3 linked regions of the Macaca fascicularis genome follow. The protein of the gene in region 1 interacts with the protein of each later gene in a pairwise test. Links are inferred from orthologs where the notes say so. Each region holds a gene or a part of one and is shown on either strand. Other genes may lie near its edges.

Region 1 (4,229 bases):
CTCTCTGTCACCTCCAAGTTGTCTTTGGCACTCAATCCAAGCGGGGAAGGCACGCTAAGGGGGTGAGATGTTGGGGTTTCTGAGTGGCCTTGGGGGTTCAGGGGTTGGGAAGGAATTCTCCCACCCTCTTTGCTTGGCTTTAGGTGGTGGATTCTTATGCCACCAGGGGGCAGTGCCTCCACATGCACCTGGACCCTGTGCTCCTGTGCCCAAGAAGCCCCACCAGGGTCAGTTGATAACTAGACAGAAATCTGGCCTCCATAGCCTGAGGCCCTGTGGCAAGCCAGTGCCTACACTACTGTAGCTTTGCTGACTTCTGAGTGCTCCTCACAATCCAGCCACCCTGTAGGGAGGCTTGTCCATGGTGGAGACTGACACCAAAAGAAGGGAGAAACTTGCTCGAGGTAAAATCTTGAGGTCATAGTGAGATAAGATTGTCAGATAGAATACAGGATATGCAGCTAAATTTCAATGTTAGATCAACCCATGAATCCTTTTTTTAGTGTAAATATGTCCCAAAGGTTAGTGTACAAGAGAGAATACTTACACTACAAATGTAGTATAAGTACAGATGTGTTGTTTATCTGAAATTTAAATGTACTTCGTATCTGTATTTTCATTTGCTCAATCTGGCAACCTTGGCTGGGCTTCCCAGGCTCCTGAATCCCACTAAGCTGAGCACACTCAGTAGTTTCTCTGCTCCCAAGGTGGCCCTCCAGAAAGCTCAAATTTCATCGCAGCTGCTCCACTAGATCTGGGAAGGGCTTCTTTGGGGCCCCCAGGAATGCAGGCAGGGCCTATATCAGCTCTGCTTCCCAAGAGCTCGGCCCCAGCGCTGGACAGGTGAGGTGGGGGCAGGGGACAGGCAGCCTCAGACCATGCTGCCCTATCTCAGCTAGTTCTGACCCCTTCCTTTGCACTCCCTCTCCTTCCTTCCTTCCTTCCTTCCTTCCTTCCTTCCTTCCTTCCTTCCTTCCTTCCTTCCTTCCTTCCTCTTTTCCTCCTTCCTTCTTTCCTTCCTTCCTTCCTCCCTTCCTCTTTTCCTTCCTTCCTTCCTTCCTTCCTTCCTTCCTTCCTTCCTTCCTTCCTTCCTTCCTCCCTTCCTCTTTTCCTCCTTCCTTCCTCCTCTTTATCCCACCTGACCCAAGGGCTCTGGGGGAAGAAGAGGCTATTTCTAAAAGGAACGTTTTATAAACCTGTCCTGATTCCTTTCACAAATAGCCTCCTATTCCCCCAGGGGCTCTGGGGTTGTTTCCTAGAATGAAGGGTTCACCACAGGTCGTGTAGCAATCAGTGTTTTCCAGAGAAACATAACTGATAGGATGTATATATGTATGTATGTATATATGTATATATCTGCATATGCACAAGTATATATACATTTATTTTAATAAATTGACTTATGCAATTGTGGGGCTGACAAGTCTGAAATGTGCAGGGCAGCCTGGCAGGCTGGCAACTCAAAGAAGAGTTGACACTGCAGTCCTGGGGTAGAATTACCTCTACTTTGGGAAACCTCAGTCTTTGCTCTTCAGGCCTCTCAGTTGATTGTGTGAGACCAACCCACATCATCGAGGATGTGTCTCTACTTTACTTCAAGTCCACTGGTTGTAGATGCCAACCACAGCTACAAAATGCCTCCACAGCAACACCTAGACTAGTGTTTGAAGGAGTCACTGGGGACTAGAACCTGGCCAGGTGACACATAAACCTGACCATCACAGTGGTCTAATCAGTAGGGAAACTGAGGGAGAATTGGGACTTAGAAGGTGCAAGGCCTGAGGCCCCTGGGAGTTCTAGTGGCTGCAGTCAGGTCCCACCTCTCTTACCCTTCTCTCCCTTTGTTCTCATGGCTCCTGCCTAGTCTGACCTACTTCAGAAAAAGGCTACCTCCCATGTCTGGGGACTCTGGATGGGGGAGGTAGGATATGCTCTCCAGAGAATCTCTTCTGAAGGTGTGGTATGGCCTGGATTGCTAGGACCTAACTCTGCTGTAGCCACTGCCTGGCTCTTGGACCCTGTGCCAATCCCTGTTTCTTCATAGAAATGATGGAGGGTAGACCCTACCCTTCCCCCCATGGGCTAAATATGGAGATTCATGAGCCAGAGCAGTTCTCACAGTCAAAGGCATGGAATTGTATCTCTTCTCCTAAGTTGCTTACAGAGTAGCAAGGAGAAGGCCACGGACCTAGCCAACAAGATACAATAGAAACAGAAAGTGCTGAGTCCAAGGCCTCAGCCTAGAGAGGGAGTCTTGCTCCACCCCCAGGTCTGACTATATCTTCCTTGAGCTCCTGTTCCAGGAAGAGGTGATTTTCTGAGTGTGACTCCTCTGTTCCTGGCACCCTGTACATCCTTAGCCATAGCTTACAAGTGAACAGCTGGTTGTGATGGCAGGAGGCCCTCCCAACACCAAGGCAGAGATGGAAATGTCCCTGACAGAAGAATTGAATCATGGACGCCAAGGGCAAAACCAAGAGCACCTGGTGATAGCGGGTGAGGATCCCCTAAAATACCCCTAGGCTACAGCCAACTGTGTAGATACATGTCTGTACCTGTGCATGTGTGTGTTGGGAAAGGTGCATGTGTGCATGGAAGTGTTTGCACATCTGTGTGTTGGGCGGGCTTTGAGGATTTGTGGGTTGATGGTAAGGGATCTAGGAGAAAAGGGATAGATGATGTGAGCATTTTGCCCTGGGAGGGAGGAGGATGGGAACAACATGTGTGGTCCCTCTGTCTTCCCCTTGTCCAAGCCACCACAGTGTCTGTTGCAAAATACTCAGAGGGCTCAAATTATGAGACCAGAGATCAATTCTCTCTCCCAACCCTCGAATTCATTTTCCTGCCATTTGGAGGAAAATCCAGACTCCATGATCTATAAGATTGTATCAGCCTCCTCAAAACATTTCATACTATGATATAGACAGAAAATACCATTTCTATAGCACACAAAGGGATCCAGATCACATTGCATTTATGTTTGTTCTTACAATGCTCCAAGCCTGCTTCTTCCCCAAAGACCTTGCATTTGCTGTTTCCTCTGTCTGGAATGCTCTTTCCCTCAATTTCCCAGGGCTGGGTCCTTTATTTTTTTCAGGTCCCTGCCTCAATTGTTGTCTCCTACTTTTCTAGAAGGAGCCCTTTCCTTCCACTATGTTACCCTGTTTTGATCATTTATGGAGCCTGCATCTCTCTGTCTGCATTTGCAAGGATAGACCTTCTGTTTTACACCTGTCATTCACTCTTATACACAAAACAGATGGTCAGTTCCTTGATAGCTGGAATCTTGTTCTTGGTCATTGCTCTCTAGATTACTGGAGAGTAACCTAGTCTCGAGCTGAGCCCTCAGGATTCTTGTTTAACTTTTGAACAGATGAACAAACTGAGACCTGGGATCAGCTGGTGGACAGTGGTTAATGGGTGCTGAGTGATTCCCAAGAAAGCTGGGGACTCTGTCTTCTTTTTGGTGTGTTTTGTGCCCAAGAAGCCCTGGTACAACTTCTATGGGTGCTCCTGGGGTCTCTGTTCTTCTCTCTAGAAATGATGGAGCATGGATCTCGGTCCCTGGGTGCCTCCCAGAAGAGGCAGAAGTTGGAACAAAAAGCTGCTGGCTCTGCTTCAGCGAAACGAGTTTGGAATATGACTGCCACCCGATCCAAGAAAATGGTACTGCATGGGGTCCTCAGCACATGTTGGCCAGGTTGGGGTTGGGAGTACTGGTTGTAGGGGCTGTAGCCTGACCAGGTCAGGCAGGGCTAGACATTGACTTGTGAGGAGGAGGAAGCTCCTGTATTCCAAGCTGGCAAATGAGGACAGAAAGGTCAGGGTCATCCTTTCCTATGCTTGGGATGCAACCTTGGGAGTTCAGAATGCCTGAAACAAATATTGCATGGGGAGTACATAAATATTTCACTCTGTAAATCCATTGTGTGAAATAACGCTTCCTGTATTTAAAATTGTGTGTGTGGTGCGTGTGTGTGTATACACACAATAACTCAGGTGAGGCTCCTACGCTTTCTGGCTGTTAAGAAATCCAGTCAAGTCGTCTGGCATGGTGGCTCATGCCTGTAATCTGAGCACTCTGGCAGGAAGAGGTGGACGGATCACTTGAGGCCAGGAGTTGGAGAACAGTCTGGCCAGCATGGTGAAACCTTGTCTCTACTAAAAATACAAAAATTAGCTGGGCATGGTGGCACATGCCTGTAATCACAGCTACTCAGGAGGCTGAG
Region 2 (4,176 bases), on another chromosome or scaffold:
GACAATGGTGAATGTTGCCAGGATCATGGAACAAGAAGACCCTCACGCAATATTGAGTAATATGGAACAATAAGAAAGACACCAGATGACCCAGCAACTCCAGTCCCAGATATAAACCCTGAGGAAACTTAGGAACTGTGACTAGGATACATGTACAAGTGTGTTCGAGGAGCTTTGCTCATAAGAGCTCAACTCTGGAAACAATCCAGTGACCATCCCAATAGAGTGGAATAAAAAATGGCGCTATATCCACATGGCAGACAGCATGGCTGCCTACAACAGCATGAGTGAATCTTATAAACACTCTGCTGAAAGAGAGAAGCAGGATCAGGGAATTTCAAAGAATGAAGTTCCAAACAAGCAGGACTAAATGCCATGGTCTAGGGGAACATACTTCAGTGTTAACACAGAAAGAAAAGCAAGGAAGTGAGTCCCAAAGTCAGAGTAATAGTTGCTGGTGTGGGAGGATTTGGGGTGTGGGATGAGGAGGTGAGACTAAGGATTGTGATTAAGTGAGTACTTGAGAGGGGCTTCTGCAGTGCTAGCAGCATTCTGTTTCTTTGCTTGGTGGTGGTTTCATGTGTGTTGTTATAAAAACGTGTTAAGCGGTACATGGATATTTTATGTACCCCAGTCAATACAGTATATATCACAATAAAATAAAAGCTGGGGAGAAGAAAGAAGGAAAAGAAAAAAAGAAAAGAAAAAGAAAGACAGAGAGGGAGGGAGGGAAGGAGAAAGATCTTCAAACATTGCCATATATCTGAGGAATCAGATAGCAGAACTATCCGTAACAATCCCTGTAACTACAAACATGAATCAAGGGATGAGAAAAAGCAGTGGACATAGGAAGGTGGTTAGGGGGCAGTAAAGAGCTGTGTTGTCAGATAAGTGGTGCATGCATATGCTGAGAGCGTTGTTTTCCATTTTGTGCTTTCTCGAGGAAGTTGCCAGGGTCTGGCCCTCACTCAGTGGACCTCACTGATCCATCATCCATGAGACCTTTTGGGGAAATTTTCGGGGCTTTCTCTGTGTTTTTCCATTTCTGGTTTAGGATCAGGGAGTGGAGGAGGAGAAAAGACACAACTGGGGGTGTGTGTGTGTGCACGCGCGCAACCATATGAAGAGACAGTGGCTAGGCTGTGGACAGCTGGTGGCATCACCATCCGTCAAGTCACACAAACCAGAACCAGGGGCACATCCTTGACCTTTCCCTCTCCCTCACCAGACTTCTCTCCTCAACCATCAAGCCCGCCTAGCTGAGATCTTTAACATTTCTTGAAACCATGCCCCTGTTCCATCTCCCCAACCACAGCCGGGTCAGGCCAGGATGCCTGAAATAGCCTCGCTGCTCTCTGTATTGATCTTACCCTCTTATCTGCCCCTGCACTGTAGCCCTACAGGTGTTTTCTAAAACACTTTCTCGTCCTATCACATCAGTTCACACACCTTCAAAGACCTTGTAGCCCAACGATCAAAGCTGAATGCCCTAGGAAGGCCCTGTGCAGCCCAACTCCAGCTTGCTTCTCCCTGTCCTTCCTACCCAGCCTGTACCCAACTCCAAATCTAAGGCCCAGTATGAATGAGCTCTATTCAGCTCTTGGCACCCTGCCTCCAGTTTCCTGCCTGGATGCTGAAGCACATGCCACATCCTCTACTGAGAGCCCCTTTTCCTCCTATGGTGGGCTTGAATTCCTGTTCATCCCTTCCCCTCTGAAAGCCACTCGGACCCTCCAGACAAAGTTCCTCGCCACCTCCACGATGCTATCTGTCTGTTACTCCACTGTTACTTGTCAGACTTGATTGAAATTAGGTGTAGACATGTCTTCCTGACATCTCTGTAACCCAGGAGCTATTATAATATAAAGCCGTCTATATAGGAGGGAACTGGTGAAAATGTTGGTTGAATTGAACTGAATTTAACTGCATTTTGGAAATTTGATTTTCTATGTTGTATGGCTCTTTGCCTGGAATCTGTCCAATATGCAAGGTCCTCCCTCACTTCCATGTCTTGCTGGTCCCCTCTCCCTGGATAGCCTTGCCCAAGCTCACTTCAGTTCACCTAGCGAATCCTTCAGCACTCAGATACCTCCTCCAGGCAGTCTCTCCTAAGCTCAGACTGAGCATGTGCCCTTTCTGTCCCACTAGAAACACCTCATCTTCCATCTCTATGTCTGGCATCCCGTGAAACGTCCTGCCACAGGATAGGTGTTCAGAAAATAGCAGCTGGATGAATGGGCGTCTACTGGGTTAGGATGTTGGAAAAAATTCACCTCCAAGTTTTTCTCAAGTGAACACTGAACTTTCTTTAAGAAAGAAAGAAAACAAGAACCATATCAAATATGTAGATGTGTGTTAAGATATAAAGTACAACATAAAACTGTAGATGTGTATCTGTATAGCTATAAAAATGCACATTAAATAAACATGCCTAGTTTTCAGTTATACTGTAAGACTAGGAACTTCTTTTTAAGGAAAATATTATATATGACCTTATGCTTAGAACAAATACTATACAATCTAAAGCCAACAGTTACTTACTGCTTAGCTGCTTGCCAACGGGGTAGATCCTGTAGCCCTCAGAGGGTACAGGCGGCCATTGTCATGTGAGATCCCCGATGACGCTGCTTGCAGGCCTGCCCCAACAATGCTGACTGTGACCTGTCTGTGCCCTTTCAGACCTGACTCACAGGATGGAGACTCTAAGAAGGAGTCCCCTATAAAAGACTTTAAGGAAAGGAGGGGGCACTTGAAAGGTCTGAAAGAGTTCCTTTTCCGTCTTTGACTTCCCTGATAGGGCAGTGCTGTTGATGACTCACAAGTGATTGTTACCTCAGATTCTGTCGGCATTGGTTCCAGGAGCATGGTTCTAGGAAGTCATGGTCTGGGGAGGGCTGTGTGTGGGATGAATCACTTCTCTTGCTGCTTTCCAGATTCTTTGTCTTTGGCTTTTGATAGTTTGACTAGGATGTGTCTTGGTCTTGAGGTTTATTCTACTTGGAGATTGTTGAGCTTCTTGGATATGCAGATTTGATAGTTTTTCATCAAATTTCAGAAGTTTTTGGCCACTATTTCTTCAAATATTCTTTCTTCCATTTTCTCTGTCTCCTCTCCTTCTAGGGCTCATATTATGTGAATACTGGTAGCGTGAGGGTGTCCCCCAGGTCTCTAAAGTTATATTCATTTTTCTTCATTCTTTTTTCTTTCTGTTGCTTAGATTAGATAATCTCAGTTAACCTGTTTACAAGCTTGTGGATTTTTTCTTCTGTCAGTTCAAATATGCTGTTGAACTCCTCTTTAATTTTTCATTTTCAACTCCAGAATTTTTGTCACGTAGTAAAATTTTTAAATAGTCAAATAAATTAACATATCCATATCTCATATAGTTACCCTTTTTTGTGCACTGTAGCAAGAGCACCCAAAATCTACTCTTAGCAAAAATCCTGAATACAATGTTATTAACTATAGTCCCCATGTTGTACCTTAGATCTCTAAATTATTTATCCTATATATCTGCAACTTTGTACCCTTTGATCTCCTTCTTCCTGTCTCCTCCCCACACCGAGCAACCACCATTTTATTCTTTGTCTATGTATTTGACTTTTTTCTCTCTTTTTCTTCTTCTTCTTCTTTTTTTTTTTTTGAGACGGAGTCTCGCTCTGTTGCCCAGGCTGGAGTGCAGTGGCGCGATCTCGGCTCACTGCAAGCTCTGCCTCCTGGGTTCACGCCCTTCTCCTGCCTCAGCCTCCCGAGTAGCTGGGACTACAGGCGCCCGCCACCACACCTGGCATTTTTTTGTATTTTTAGTAGAGATGGGGTTTCACCATGTTAGCCAGGATGGTCTCGATCTCCTGACCTCGTGATCCGCCCGCCTCGGCCTCCCAAAGTGCTGGGATTACAGGCGTGAGCCGCCACACCTGGCCTCTTTTTTTTTTTTTTTTTTTTTTTTAAGATTCTACATATAAGTGAAATTGTGCAGCATTTTTCTTTCTGTGTCTGGCTTATTTCACTTAGCATAATGTTCTCCAGGTTCATCTATCTTGTCACAAATGGCAGGATTCTTTTTTTATGACTGAATAATATTCTACTTTATATACATGCTACAATTTCTTTATCTATTCATCCATCAGTGGACCCCTAGTCCATCCAGAATTTCTCCAGAAATTTTCACTGTGT
Region 3 (4,105 bases), on another chromosome or scaffold:
TTGCAGCTCTGTGGCATAAGATATCATTTTTTTTTTTTTTTTCTGAGATGGAGTCTCATGTTAGCCCAGGCTGAGTGCAGTGAGTGGTGCCATCTCTGCTCACTGCAATCTCCACCTCCTGGGTTCAAGCAATCCTCCCGCCTTGGCCTCCCAAAGTGCTGTGATTACAGGCAAGTCAAATGTGTAAGAAACTTGAGCCAGGCGAGGTGGCTCACGCATGTATTCCCAGCCATTGCACTCCAGCCTGGGCAACAAGAGTGAAACTCCGTCTCAAATAAAAAAAAACTTACAATAACTAATATGTATGCAGCCCCTCTATCTAGCCATAGAGTACCTGAGCTGTAACAGACACTGGGGATCTACCATTTGATGCTTTTTTTTTCCTTTGACAGAGAGTCTCACTCTGTGGCCCAGGCTGGAGTGCAGTGGTATGATCTCAGCTCAGTGCAACCTCCGCCTCCCAGGGTCAAGCAGTTCTCCTGCCTCAGTCTCCCAAGTAGCTGGGATTACAGGCATACTCCAACACGCCTGGCTAATTTTTGCATTTTTAAAACAGACTGATTTTGCCATGTTGGCCAGGCTAGTTGCACAACTCCTGACCTCAGGTGATCCATCTCCCTCGGCCTCCCAAAGTGCTAGGATTACAGATGTCAGCCACCATGCCCAGCCTAATGCTCCTTTTTTTGAGACAGGGTCTCACTCTGTCTCCCCGGCTAGAGTGCAGTGGTGTGATCAGGGCTCACTGCAGCCTTAACCCCTCCAAGCTCAGGTAGTCCTCTGAACTCAGCCTCCTGGGTAGCTAGGAACAGAGGCACATGCCACCATGCCCAGTTAATTTTTTGCTTTTTTTGGTAGAGACAGTGTTTCACCATGTTACCCAGTCTGGTCTCAATCTACTGAGCTCAAGCAATCCTCCTGCCTCAGCCTCCCAAAGTGCTAGGATTACAGGCACGTGTCAAATGTGTGAGAATTTTAGTCTTAATATCCTTAAGACAATAATGATAATAATAATAATAATAGTAATAATAATAAAAGGGCCGGGCATGGGGCCACATCTGTAATCCCAGCACTTTGGGAGGCTGAGGTGGGTGGATCGCCTGAGGTCAGGAGGAGTTCGAGACTACCTTGGCCAACATGGTGAAATCCCGTCTCTACTAAAAATACAAAAAATTAGCTGGGTGTCGTGGTGGGCGCCTGTAATCCCAGCTACTAGGGAGGCTAAGGCAGGAGAATGGCTTGAACCCAGGAAGTGGAGGTTGCAGTGAGCCGAGATCACGCCCCTGCACTCCAGCCTGGGCAACAAAAGCAAAGCTCTTGTTTCAAAAAACAAAACAAAACAAAACAAAAAAACACCCAGACTGTGCCATTTCTGAGAACTTATTCCAAAGACATGCCCAAATTAAGTAGAAATCAGGGTAAGTCTTAACTACACGGAGGCTACTAACTTGAGTCGGGCTTTCTTCATCTGGGCAGAAACCTCAGAAATACATTTTGCAGAATGAACAGAAGGAACTGAGGTTCAGAGAGATGGAATAGCCCTTCGGAGGCCACAGGGCTGGAGAGTGTAAAGAGGTTTTGGCTTGGGTTCCATAAAGGGTCCTTGGCTTCCAGCTAGACAACCCTGGCATTTCTGTGCCTCCTGTGACTGAAATCTCTTGTTTCTCCACCTGGAAAACGAGGCCTCCTGCTCCCAAGGACGGACAGATGTTAATAACTTCCCGGCGCTAGTGCCCACCAGACTCTGCTCCTCCTAATGTGGGGACATGAGGCAGACACCAACCTCCCTGGGAAGCTCGGGCTCCCAGGCCACAGTAAACACTGCGTTAAAACAGCAACAAAAATGTTACAGTAGTAAGAGCAACAACAACATCAACAACCACGTCCTACCCCACAAGTGGCTCATTCTGGCAAAACTGACAATGAAGGGGCTTGAAAGCGATCGCATTTAGGAGGCCAGAGCCCAGACGACGACCAGCTCCGAACCCCACAAGCCTTGTCGTGACCGCGCCCCGCAGGCGGGGGGACCCCTCTCGGGTCACCCGCAGGGGCGCACCCCCAATTTACCTAACAAGGTCGCACGCCCCAGCCGGGCTCTAGTCCCCGCGACCAGTCCGGGGCGCACCTGTGCAGGGCGCATGGGCAGGTGTGGGCGGGCGGCTGCGCGCCGCTCCGGGTGCACGTTCCTGTTCCGGACTTTCTGGGCGTCCCGTTACGAAGCATTTCCTCGGCCCTTAGGTGCACAGCGCCTCTGGGAGCCGGTCCCAGCAGCACCGGGCACGACGCCATCTTCCCTCTTTTAAGGGCACCGGGGCTGTGCGGCAGCGGCCGTGGGCTGGCGGTGCCGCGCTGCGCTCTGGCCGGGTCCGCACGACCCCAGAGGTCGGAGTCCGGTGCCCGGAAGCCGCCCTCGAGGATGGTGCGAGGGCGATGGAGCGTCCGGCCATAGCGGTGAGACGCAGAGGAACCACCCCATTGCACAGGCGCGGAGACTGAGGCCCGCAGGGGCCGCGCCTGGCACGATCGGCCGTCGGGGACCTGGAGCCCTGGGCAGAAAGGGGATGTTTCGGAGCCGGAGTCCCGAGACGTCGCCCCACAAGGGACTCGCCAGCGACTTGCTGAGGCGGAAAAACCTGGGCACGGGTCCCCACACTTCCAGCCGCTCGGCACCCGGGCCGCGGCCTGGGCGCTAACCGCCGGGCTCGAGCTGGGTGGAGCGGCGGGCGGCAGCAGGGTCAGGGGCACTCACCTGGCGGCGGCGATGCTGGCAGCGTCTGTGAGCCACCGGAGAAGCTTCGTGTCTACTGCCCGGCTGCCGGCGCGGGACCTAATAGGTCCGGGCGCCCCGCCCCTCCCGCCCCGCCCGGGTCCCGCCCCGCCCCGGGAGCGGCCTCTCGCACCCCGAGCGCGGAATCCCGGACTGGGGTCTGAATGGCATTGGCAACAGAACCGCTACAAGTGCAGCCGGTTGGCTTGTTTACAGCCTCTCTGCCCCCTGCGGTTCTGCAAGCTTGTTTTGTCCCGTGCGTCGCTGTTTCCCCTGCGCCCAGCACGGGCGTGCAGTCGAGATCGATCCATTGACAGAATCTGGGTGTATAATCCAAGCCCTTTACACAGATGGCCTCCCTTCGAGCTCAAAGTACTCCTCGGTGCTTTTTTTCACGATCATTTTACCCACCGAGGCTCCAAGAGGACGAAATGACTTGCTAAATGACAGCGTGAAGCCAGCGTTCAAAAACGTGCTCCTTAGGCTGGCAGCTTCGGGACTTAGGTGTTTTTAAGCCTATTTCACGAATATGAAAACCGAGGTTCACACTTGGGTAGCAGCAGCATCCAGTGCTCCATACCCGAAGCCAGGGGGACTGGCCCTCCACTGCCGCCCGTCCGCAGCCTTCCAGCTGCAGCACCCACCCCCTGCCTTCCCCCTCTCGTCGGGGCTCCGGGTGCGCGAGAGGCAGGTCGGAACGGGAGGGATTGGGGGCAGGGGGCCCACGTGCAGACCTGGTGAGAAGGACCCCAAAGCCCCCGCGAGGGACAGAGAAATCAGGAAGGTTCCAGGCGGGGTGGGCTGGTGGCAGCCTGCCCCGCGGGGATGAGTAGTGCCTAACAGCGGCACTGGGGTATATTGGGGGTGGGAGAAGGCAGAGCGCTCTTGGAATAACAAAGTAACAATTGTCCTGCGCACAGCAAAGCTTGTTTACCTCTGTCTTGATCCCCTCAGAGATTAGGGGAGGGGCAGGGGAGGGGCAGGGGAGGGGCAGGGGAGGGGCAGGGGCTCCCCTCCCCCAGCTCTGTCGTTTGCTACCTGTTGGGTACCCTCACTCTGTTCTTCCCACCTGTAGGGTAATTACTTCCCCCTCAGTGTTCTCATCTGTGAAATGGACAACAGCACCTACCAAGAGCTGGGCTTTTGGGAGGACCAGAGGAGGTAAAGCCTGATAAAGTCTTCAGAGCCCCTCCCTCCTTCTGGGCCTTGGACCTTCTTTGCTTTTGTAGTTTGTTGTTGTTGTTGTTGTTGTTGTTGGTTGGTTTGTTTTTTGAGATGGAATATCACCCTGTTGCCCAGGCTGGAGTGCAGTAGCACAATCTCGGCTCACTGCAACCTCCG

The links.
Region 2: the proteins of FATE1 (region 1) and CCDC70 interact in binary tests that used the Homo sapiens proteins (3 or more experiments, as listed by UniProt). The two-hybrid records come from large-scale screens. The link is inferred for Macaca fascicularis from reciprocal best matches to the Homo sapiens genes FATE1 and CCDC70.
Region 3: the proteins of FATE1 (region 1) and BIK interact in binary tests that used the Homo sapiens proteins (3 or more experiments, as listed by UniProt). The two-hybrid records come from large-scale screens. The link is inferred for Macaca fascicularis from reciprocal best matches to the Homo sapiens genes FATE1 and BIK.

The regions. Positions count from the first base shown.
Region 1 is NC_088395.1:157,778,732-157,782,960, forward strand, and holds the start of FATE1 (fetal and adult testis-expressed transcript protein), read left to right. Parts: upstream 1-1,420; 5' UTR 1,421-2,390; coding exon 2,391-2,496; intron 2,497-3,538; coding exon 3,539-3,666; intron 3,667-4,229. UniProt on the Homo sapiens protein: Involved in the regulation of endoplasmic reticulum (ER)-mitochondria coupling. Negatively regulates the ER-mitochondria distance and Ca(2+) transfer from ER to mitochondria possibly implicating it in the regulation of apoptosis.
Region 2 is NC_088391.1:31,027,922-31,032,097, reverse strand, and holds the start of CCDC70 (coiled-coil domain-containing protein 70), read right to left. Parts: upstream 2,801-4,176; 5' UTR 2,542-2,800; intron 1-2,541.
Region 3 is NC_088384.1:8,473,708-8,477,812, forward strand, and holds the start of BIK (bcl-2-interacting killer), read right to left. Parts: upstream 2,801-4,105; 5' UTR 2,747-2,800; intron 1-2,746.